Danio rerio: one gene and its partner. The protein of the gene in region 1 binds, or shares a complex with, the protein of each later gene. Links are inferred from orthologs where the notes say so. Each region holds a gene or a part of one and is shown on either strand. Other genes may lie near its edges.

Region 1 (4,289 bases):
ACTTTCCATATCATATGCAGAATTTAAGTTAAACATAAATAAGAGGTCTTATATAAACTACATGCCTGTTTTTATTTAGAACCATCCTGAATATGCAGTTTCACCTAAAAGAGTATCAAAGATGTTAACATTCGTTACATAAAATGGATTATTCAGCACAGTATCAAATAAAACATGCAATTTTTATAAGAATTCCTCTCGTTTTGTTAAAATTATTAAGAGTTTGGCAATTATTATGCCTGTGCATGTAATATGATGTATAATATCCTTTTCCAAAATGTATCTTATTTACTCTTCAACGCTACCTCTCGTCTGACATGTCTTACCCTGAAATGTGTGATGTTTGTTTATGGTCAAATCAAGACTTGATTTTGATTATCATCATCATCATCATAAGTTTTTGTAATTTGCACTGTTTGCAGGAAAGTGGAGTAGTTGTGTGTTCTATATTTAAAGTAGAGCTTGGTATCAATTTAAATGTACCAATTTGATTCAATTCTGATTCCCAATCTCCTATTTTGATCTCATTCCATTCTTAATCTTATTCTAGATTTGATTCAGTGAAAATAGATTTTATAAAAATGCAATTTATATTTCCAAAATCCTCAAACTGACATTTCCACATTACAGACACATAGTTACTTTCTGCCTTTTAAACCCCTACTTAAATAACTTCAAAAAGCAAATCAACCAATACAGGGCTCGAAATTAACCTTTTTCCTTGGTAGCACCGGTACTCCTAACTTCAAAAATGTAGGCCCATCAGACAAAATTTAGTTGCACCCACCAAAAATTGTGAGTCAAATTATGACTGTTCCCTGAAAACTCAGTCCCACCGGCTCTACAGTGAATGCTTTAGTCATTTTCATAGCGGACTTTAACCACTGGAAGTCTTTTATCCACTCGTCGAAAAGTGTAAATGCTGGATTGACATTCATTACATGATCACTAATCAGATGTGCCATTATTTGTAACTTTAGGTGGTTTCTAAAACCACATCTGTCAGTGTTGTTTTCATTCTCTCGTATCCAGACCTTTACATTTTCGCGGCTGGATCTCGATGTCATCGAAACTGAGTAATTAAGAGCTGATGTTAACCAATCTAATCGCCTTATGTTCTAACGCAGTGGGCCAATAAGAAGAGCTTGAAGGTGGGACAAGCAATGGGGGCTTTGTTTCCTGCAGCAAGTTGACATGTCAACTATTTTAAACCATTCCCGAGCGCTGCGTTTGGTGTTTTTTTGCTGTGAAAACTGGTAGCACGATAACAATTTTATGCACTCGCACAAATGCTCCCAAATATATTTTGCGGTTGCATAGAAAAAATTTCAGGCCCTCTAATAAAATTCCATTATTCTGCCAAATGTTATTTATTTCATTGGTTGTTTGAAGACTCTAATAAATAAGTTTCCTTTTTGGAGGCCTGTCAATTGATATTTGTAAATGAATTCATACATCTACAAATATAAATTGGCATGCCTCAATAAAAGCCTGATAATAATATGCAGATATGCTTTCTCATTTACATTAGAGTGACTATGACAGTCTGGGTAATGTTTAGACATATTTCATTTTAATATTAACAATGTTAGATTTACATTTGAATATTATAAAAACTTTAAACACAATTACAAACACAAAACATTCTTCAATAGTGCTTAAAATTTTGATCAACGTTGGTTGCACTTCTACAGCACTTGGGCCTGTCATATTTGAATACCCGGGTACATCCTAGCAACCAAAAATCTAACCTTAGATCAGTTTGTGAGGTCACATTTCAAGTCTACCGCTTAAGTCCTGTGATCAAGGAACGCGTGTATAAACCAGGAGCTGAACAGGTTTAAGACCAGCCTGACCTGAGGGAAAGTCTCCAGCTGCACAGCTCATAAGATCTCGTAAACCACCCTCCAATCTGACAGTGTTTACATACTATACAGGACTGTGGCTTAAAGACAAAGCACCCAAATCCACTGCCAGACTGCACTACAGGATCTGAGCCTTAATCACCAGACATAATCACAGGATAATAACCCATGTTTCTCCTGGCTAGTATGCATACACACAAACACACATGTGCACTGGAGAAAAGATGGAGTCGTCATCATCATGCACACTTGAGCATCTCCATATGCAAGTGCTACAGATGAGACCTGCAGCCATGTGAGAAGATGAGCTGGTGGTCTTCACTGACCAAACTCACTCTTTCTACATCCTACATGTAACACACATGTCCTCAGCCCTCTCGAGGTCCTAATAATCCACTATATCCATGTGTTTTACCACAGAGGTGCAGTTTTTGAGCTGCTGTCACTGATAAAAACATACCAGCAGCCGTTAGCAAGACTGCTAACTAAACCAGTAAATCAGAGCAGAGGTTTAACGTTAGCTGCAATCTCGGCGTGGAGAAGGGGAGCTTACAGAGGCCTGTTTTTATGAATAAATGACTATTGTACTTATTGATGCGGTTTCTGAATGGAAATGACCGTTGGAGTGACCGTTGCAGAGCATATGCTAGTGTATGGAGACGAAGCGCGCCCTGAAATCCTACAGATTCCTCCTCCTCCTCCTCCCGCAGTCACTGTCATAAAAAGGACAATCGGCCTGAGCTCAAAAACAGTCTTCTTACCTCATCATTCAGTTTCCATTATGACTCCAGCACTCTGCGAGGGAATCAACTAAAGGGGCATGAGGTGACAGGCGGAGGCTCTTCTGTCCTTTTTTGACGCTCGAGGTAAATTCCAGGCGTTATTTGGCTGCTGCTTGTGTGGCTCCTCGTTTCCTCTGTGCAGCTTCGCTAGTAGTGAAGTAAAAGGGGGAAAATGAAACGTGCGGACGTCATTGGGGCGTCCGAGTCTGCCTGTTTACTGCACATAGAGGGCGCTCTGCGGCCCAAATTAACCCATAGCACTTATATATCTCTTACAAGAAAATAATAATAATAATTCATAAAAATATAATAATTAATAAAAAATAATGCAAATAATAGCACTTTTATATCTTTTACAAGATAATAATAATAATTAATAAAAATGTAATTAATACAAAAATAATAATACCTAAAACGTGAAAACAAGATAAATAAATAAATAAATAAATGTGGCATTAGCAATAAACAAAAAGAGAAAAAAAAGAACAAAAACAAATTTAAAAGATATCCTTAGAAAGGTTGTCAAAATGCATAATAACCCGATAGCGCTTCTGTTTACTGCATACAGTAGAATCTTAAAGGGATAGTTTGGCCAAAAATAAACATTTACTCATTATTTTCTTGCCTTCACTTGGTTCTAAACCCTTTTTATTTATTTTATTATTATTATTTTATTTTATTTTTTGCTGAACTTAAAACAAGATATTTTGAAGAATGCTGAAATTCGGTAACCATTGAGTTCCATAGTATAAAAAAACAAACAAGTACTATGGAAGTCAACGGTTACCAGTTTCCAGCTTTCTTCAGAATATCTTCTTTTGTGTTTGGGGCCCACTAAAGGCCTCAGTAAATTTCCAGATGATTTTCTAAAGTAAGAAAAAATCAGGTTCACTATAAGATAAAATGGCTTACATCAAGATTTAAGTTTTATTTTATTTTAATTTGTCATTTATTTAAAAACTGAAGTAAAAGCAAAACACAGGAATATTAAAATTACTGGAGCTTCTAAATTTCTAATGATGTTAAGTTTTTTTTTATTAATTTCAACAATCTAATGTGTAAATTGTAAAACAATTTTGAAGGGCGTCCAGGTCACAAAGTCCTATAATTCATTAATTTTCTTTTTGGCTTAGTTCCTTTATTATTCAGAGGTCGCCACAGCAGAATGAACCACCAACTAATCCCAGTAATGGGTTGCGGCTAGAAGGGCATCTGCTGCATAAAATTCATATGCCAGAATAGCTGGCGGTTCATTCCGCTATGGCGACCCCTGATTAATAAGGGACTAGCTAAGCCTAAGATAAAATAATAAATGATTATTACATAAGTTATTCTGTGAATTTTTTTTTCTTGCATAGAAATTATACTACAAAAATAATTATTACAAATGTTTCCCCCAGGTGTGCGTGTTAATTATTTTAAAATAAATAATTTATATTTACATATTTAAAAAAAAAACGTTAATATTGTGCCTTGTGAATTTCCCATGACGTCATTGTCATTTTTTTATTAAGTGTCACGTATGAAACGTCGCAATTTATTGATATGTTATTAGGGTTTATTGACTTGACATTATTTGGTGGAAATATCCAAGTGTTTCTCAGTGATTTTCTTGCTGCATAAAACATATGCTGGATAGGTT
Region 2 (3,831 bases), on another chromosome or scaffold:
TTGTATGTGTCTGCATACGCTTGTGTATTTGTTTTGTGTTGCGTTTGGATATGTGTGTGTTTTGTGTGTGTTCGTATGTGTTTGCTTGTGTGTGTGTTCATGTTTGTGCCTGTTTGTATGTATGTCTGTTTTGTGTGTGTTTGTGTGTGTGCATGTGTTCCTGTTTGTATGTGTGTGTTTGCATGTGTGTTTTTGTATGTGTGTATGTATGTGTGTGTGTGTGTGTTTATGTGGTTGTCTCTCGGTGTGTGTGTGTATGTGTTTGTACAGTATGTGTGTTTGTACAGTATGTGTGTTTGTACAGTATGTGTGTTTGTTTGTGTTTATGTGTATGTTTGTGCCCCCGTGCAACTGTGTGTGTGTGTAATTGTGTTTGTGGCTATTTATGTTTTGTGTGTGTGTATACAGTATATGTGTGTGTGTCTATTTGTATGTGTTTTCATGTGTGTTTTGTGTGTGTTTGTATGTTTCTTAGAGTTGTGTGTGTGTGTTTGCATGTGTGTTTTGTATGTGTGTGTTTGTGTTTTTGATTTGTATGTGTGTATGGTTGCGTGTCTTACTGCTGCTGTCTCCATTGAAGCTGCCTGATGCCAGCTCAGGCTCAGTGGAGTTGCTGGAGGAGTGTGATCTGGCGTCCAGCGCGGCGAGGGATTGGAGCATGCTCAGTACACTGTTAGAGGTGGGGAACTGCAGGTACTTCTCTGGAACGTAGCCCACCTGCCCGGTCTTATTCCGCGCCTGCAACCAACAAATGCAACACAACATTTAGAGGCAGACTTTAATGAGGAGACCTAAGGTTACGCCTTCCGTCTGCACACTACACCAGAGATTTTCAGCCCCAAAATGGGAGTGTTTTGGAAACGCTAGAGAGGCCGTTTTGGTTTTAAAATGCTGCTGCTCCGTGTCAGTGTGGATGGGGGAAAACCATAGACTGTAAAAGATGAATAGCGCAAATGAAGCTACAAGTAGGCGTGGCTAACTGTTGCCATTTTGTTAGTGCGTCATTGCGCCGACCGTGGGATACCAAACAAGGGCAAAGAGGCAGAGCTACAGACGCCTGCAAGCATTTTGCTTAGACAGGCTTTTCTTTGGAAGAAACGCTTAATCCTTCATTACCTGCGACTCGTTTGTGTTCTAGCACAATTAAGTGCACACAGCGTGCCACATCATTTGATAATGGTACGAAATAATCCCAAAAGGCAACTGACTGTGTAAAGCCAAATAAAACACAAGAAAAATACGATGAATATGCCGAGTTCAGCAGCTAATCAGCCGGAATCAGCTGAGGTGAAGAGACCTGTCACTCAAGTGGCCACGCCCTTAATTATGCAGACTAAGGGTGCTTTCACATCTGTGAATCGATTCAGTTGTTCCGAAACAGAGATTACAATTGTTACATTGATGCTCTTTGCTCTTGGAGCGGTTCGCTTTCACACTGCAAAGTTTCTAATCGGACCAAAAGAGCTAAAACAAGTCACGTGCGAGTAAACTCTCCTCACATTGGTCAGAGTGTCAGGGTTTATTTTGCAGCGTCCTGCTCAGCTGTCAGGAGAGGTGGTGGTTTGGTGGTGATTGACAGGGTGCGCGCGCTACGTGTCTGAGGAGAGACGCGGTGGGAAGGGGTGAGAAGGGTGCGCGACGATGCCTATTTGAGGACCGGGAGGGAGACGCGAGAATACCAGGAGATCATCAATCGAGCATCCGTAGACTCGCGAAACTTCCCGCCCTACTCATATTTCTCTCTTCATATAGTCGTAAGCCTATTACATATCCATAAAACACTGTGATATAACCGCGCTCGGATCGGATCGCTTTCTCACTGCAATCGAACCGCTCCAGGGTTCGTTCTAATCGAGCCGAGACCACCTCATTCAAGCGATCTCGGAGCGATTACTTTGGCGTGGAACAGAGAGCGATTGCCCTGTTCACATATGCCAAACGAACCGCGCTAACTGGGCAAACGAGACGTGTTCCGAAACAAAAGTGTAGGTGTGAAAGCACCCTAAATATAACCTAATATAAACTAAATGGATGAGTTATAAAAATGCGGACATTTTAACATTAGGGTCAATGGAAATGTGCTCTATTATGGAGCCGGGCCTAGTGGAATTTCAATGAACTGCAGTTACAGTTACTTCTGTATTAGCTTTACGAGGGAGAGCGGGATGTTGCCCCTTGGGGAAAACAGAGACATCTAAAATTGGATATTGAGAATAATATTGAGAAAATATCAAGTTTAACAACTATATGAGGTCTAGTGGTAGATCTCTGATGAACTGTCCGACGTGAGCTGCTCTCACCTAAGGAGCTGTGCTCAAAACACCCACTGACTGCCATGAGCTCAGACGTTGGGTCCCACTTTATATTAAATGTTGCTTATACTTGTGAACTTACATGGTAACTAGGTGTGTATAAGTAGTATGTAACTACAGTATTGAAAGATTATGTGCAGTTTAGTTCTGTTGCATTTACATTGATTAAACTCTGATGTGATATGATGGGTTGACCTGTGCCTCAACCCCCACAAATGGATAGGTGTGAACTAAATGACCCTTTTACAATCTCAATGGGTACTAGCAAAACAACAGCTGAAACATCTGATAAGAGGGTCCTGCTGAGCATCGTAAACACAGAATGGTTTGTATGATTCTAGTATAAAGTACTGTCTCACAGACAGTACTTCGGGTTAAGTTACTTGAAGACTGACGGGTTAACATCACTGCTGAGGAACTGCACTATTCATTGTCTTCAATTAAGTCTTCTCTCCGTAAGAACTTTGGTCAGCTTACTTATTTTATGTATTAGAGTAATCTAATACATTGAAGAGCCACCCAAGAACGGTTAACGCAAATACAGCAAAATCTAACACTACAGTGATGTAAAGTAACTAATCAAAAATACTCAAATTACTGTAACTTAGTAGTTGTTCTCAGAAATTGTAATTTACTAAGTAGTTTTAAAAAATGTTTACTTTTACTTTTCTTTGTGTACTTTTACTCCATTACTTTCCTTCAACTTGCAGACTTTTTTTCTCTTGTCTATGAGGATTAGAAAAATCAGTCCTGTTTTTCCTGTCCAATCAAATCACACATATAAGGTGAATCGCATCATAATGAACAACCTCAAGACATGGGCAATTTTATAATAGCAGCAAACTGTTTGAAAGCATTAAAAGTGTCTAAGAAGATGTTTAAAATCACGTAATGACCCAGTGATTGTTTAGATGCATGTCACTGATGAGAAGATGACGGATGTTTACTGTAAGATGACCAAAATGGCCTTAAACACCCAGCAGGCACAAGACATCAACATGACATCAGATTGAAGTTGTACCCCAACATAGGGGAAACAAAAATCGGGTTGATGTCAGAACCCAATGTCAGGCCTACTGTACGTCAATGTTCAACATCCAACCTAAAATCAACCAAATATCAACGTCTAATGATATTAAAGCTTGACGTTGTGGGGACGTTACCACTATGACGTCTATCAGATGTTGGATTCTGGTTGCCATACCTGACGAATAAATGTCAGTAGTTGACGTCAATATGACGTTGGTTTAAGATGCTGGCTCGACTTTGGATTTTGGTCACTTTCTAACAACCTTTTTTCTAACAATTATTGGACATTAACATAACCTTGTCTTTAGACGCTGGATAGACATAAAATTTTGGTCACTTGACATCACAACCTAAATCGAACCTAATATTAACGTCTTATGATGTTGTGTGCCTGCTGGGCAATAACTAGATGCACTACAGAATGTTACGTTTACACACACATTCACAAATCACATGTAAACGCATCTGCTTTTTACAGTGTATTACTCAC

Evidence for each region.
Region 2: the proteins of itsn1 (region 1) and fchsd2 are in contact, whole or in part, in a crystal structure (PDB 6GBU), measured with the Homo sapiens proteins. The link is inferred for Danio rerio from reciprocal best matches to the Homo sapiens genes ITSN1 and FCHSD2. Residues at the interface, in NP_003015.2 of Homo sapiens: Pro1076, Ile1078, Gly1098, Leu1100, Leu1102, Gln1117, Ala1118, Arg1119, Gly1120, Lys1121, Lys1122, Arg1123, Leu1136, Ser1137, Pro1138; in NP_055639.2 of Homo sapiens: Tyr576, Gln581, Thr582, Asp584, Glu585, Gln602, Asp603, Asp604, Asp605, Gly606, Phe607, Val618, Pro620, Val622, Leu623.

The regions. Positions count from the first base shown.
Region 1 is NC_133176.1:50,394,222-50,398,510, forward strand, and holds the start of itsn1 (intersectin-1), read right to left. Parts: upstream 2,803-4,289; 5' UTR 2,627-2,802; intron 1-2,626. UniProt on the Homo sapiens protein: Adapter protein that provides a link between the endocytic membrane traffic and the actin assembly machinery. Acts as a guanine nucleotide exchange factor (GEF) for CDC42, and thereby stimulates actin nucleation mediated by WASL and the ARP2/3 complex.
Region 2 is NC_133193.1:4,391,699-4,395,529, forward strand, and holds part of fchsd2 (F-BAR and double SH3 domains protein 2), read right to left. Parts: intron 739-3,831; coding exon 561-738; intron 1-560. UniProt on the Homo sapiens protein: Adapter protein that plays a role in endocytosis via clathrin-coated pits. Contributes to the internalization of cell surface receptors, such as integrin ITGB1 and transferrin receptor.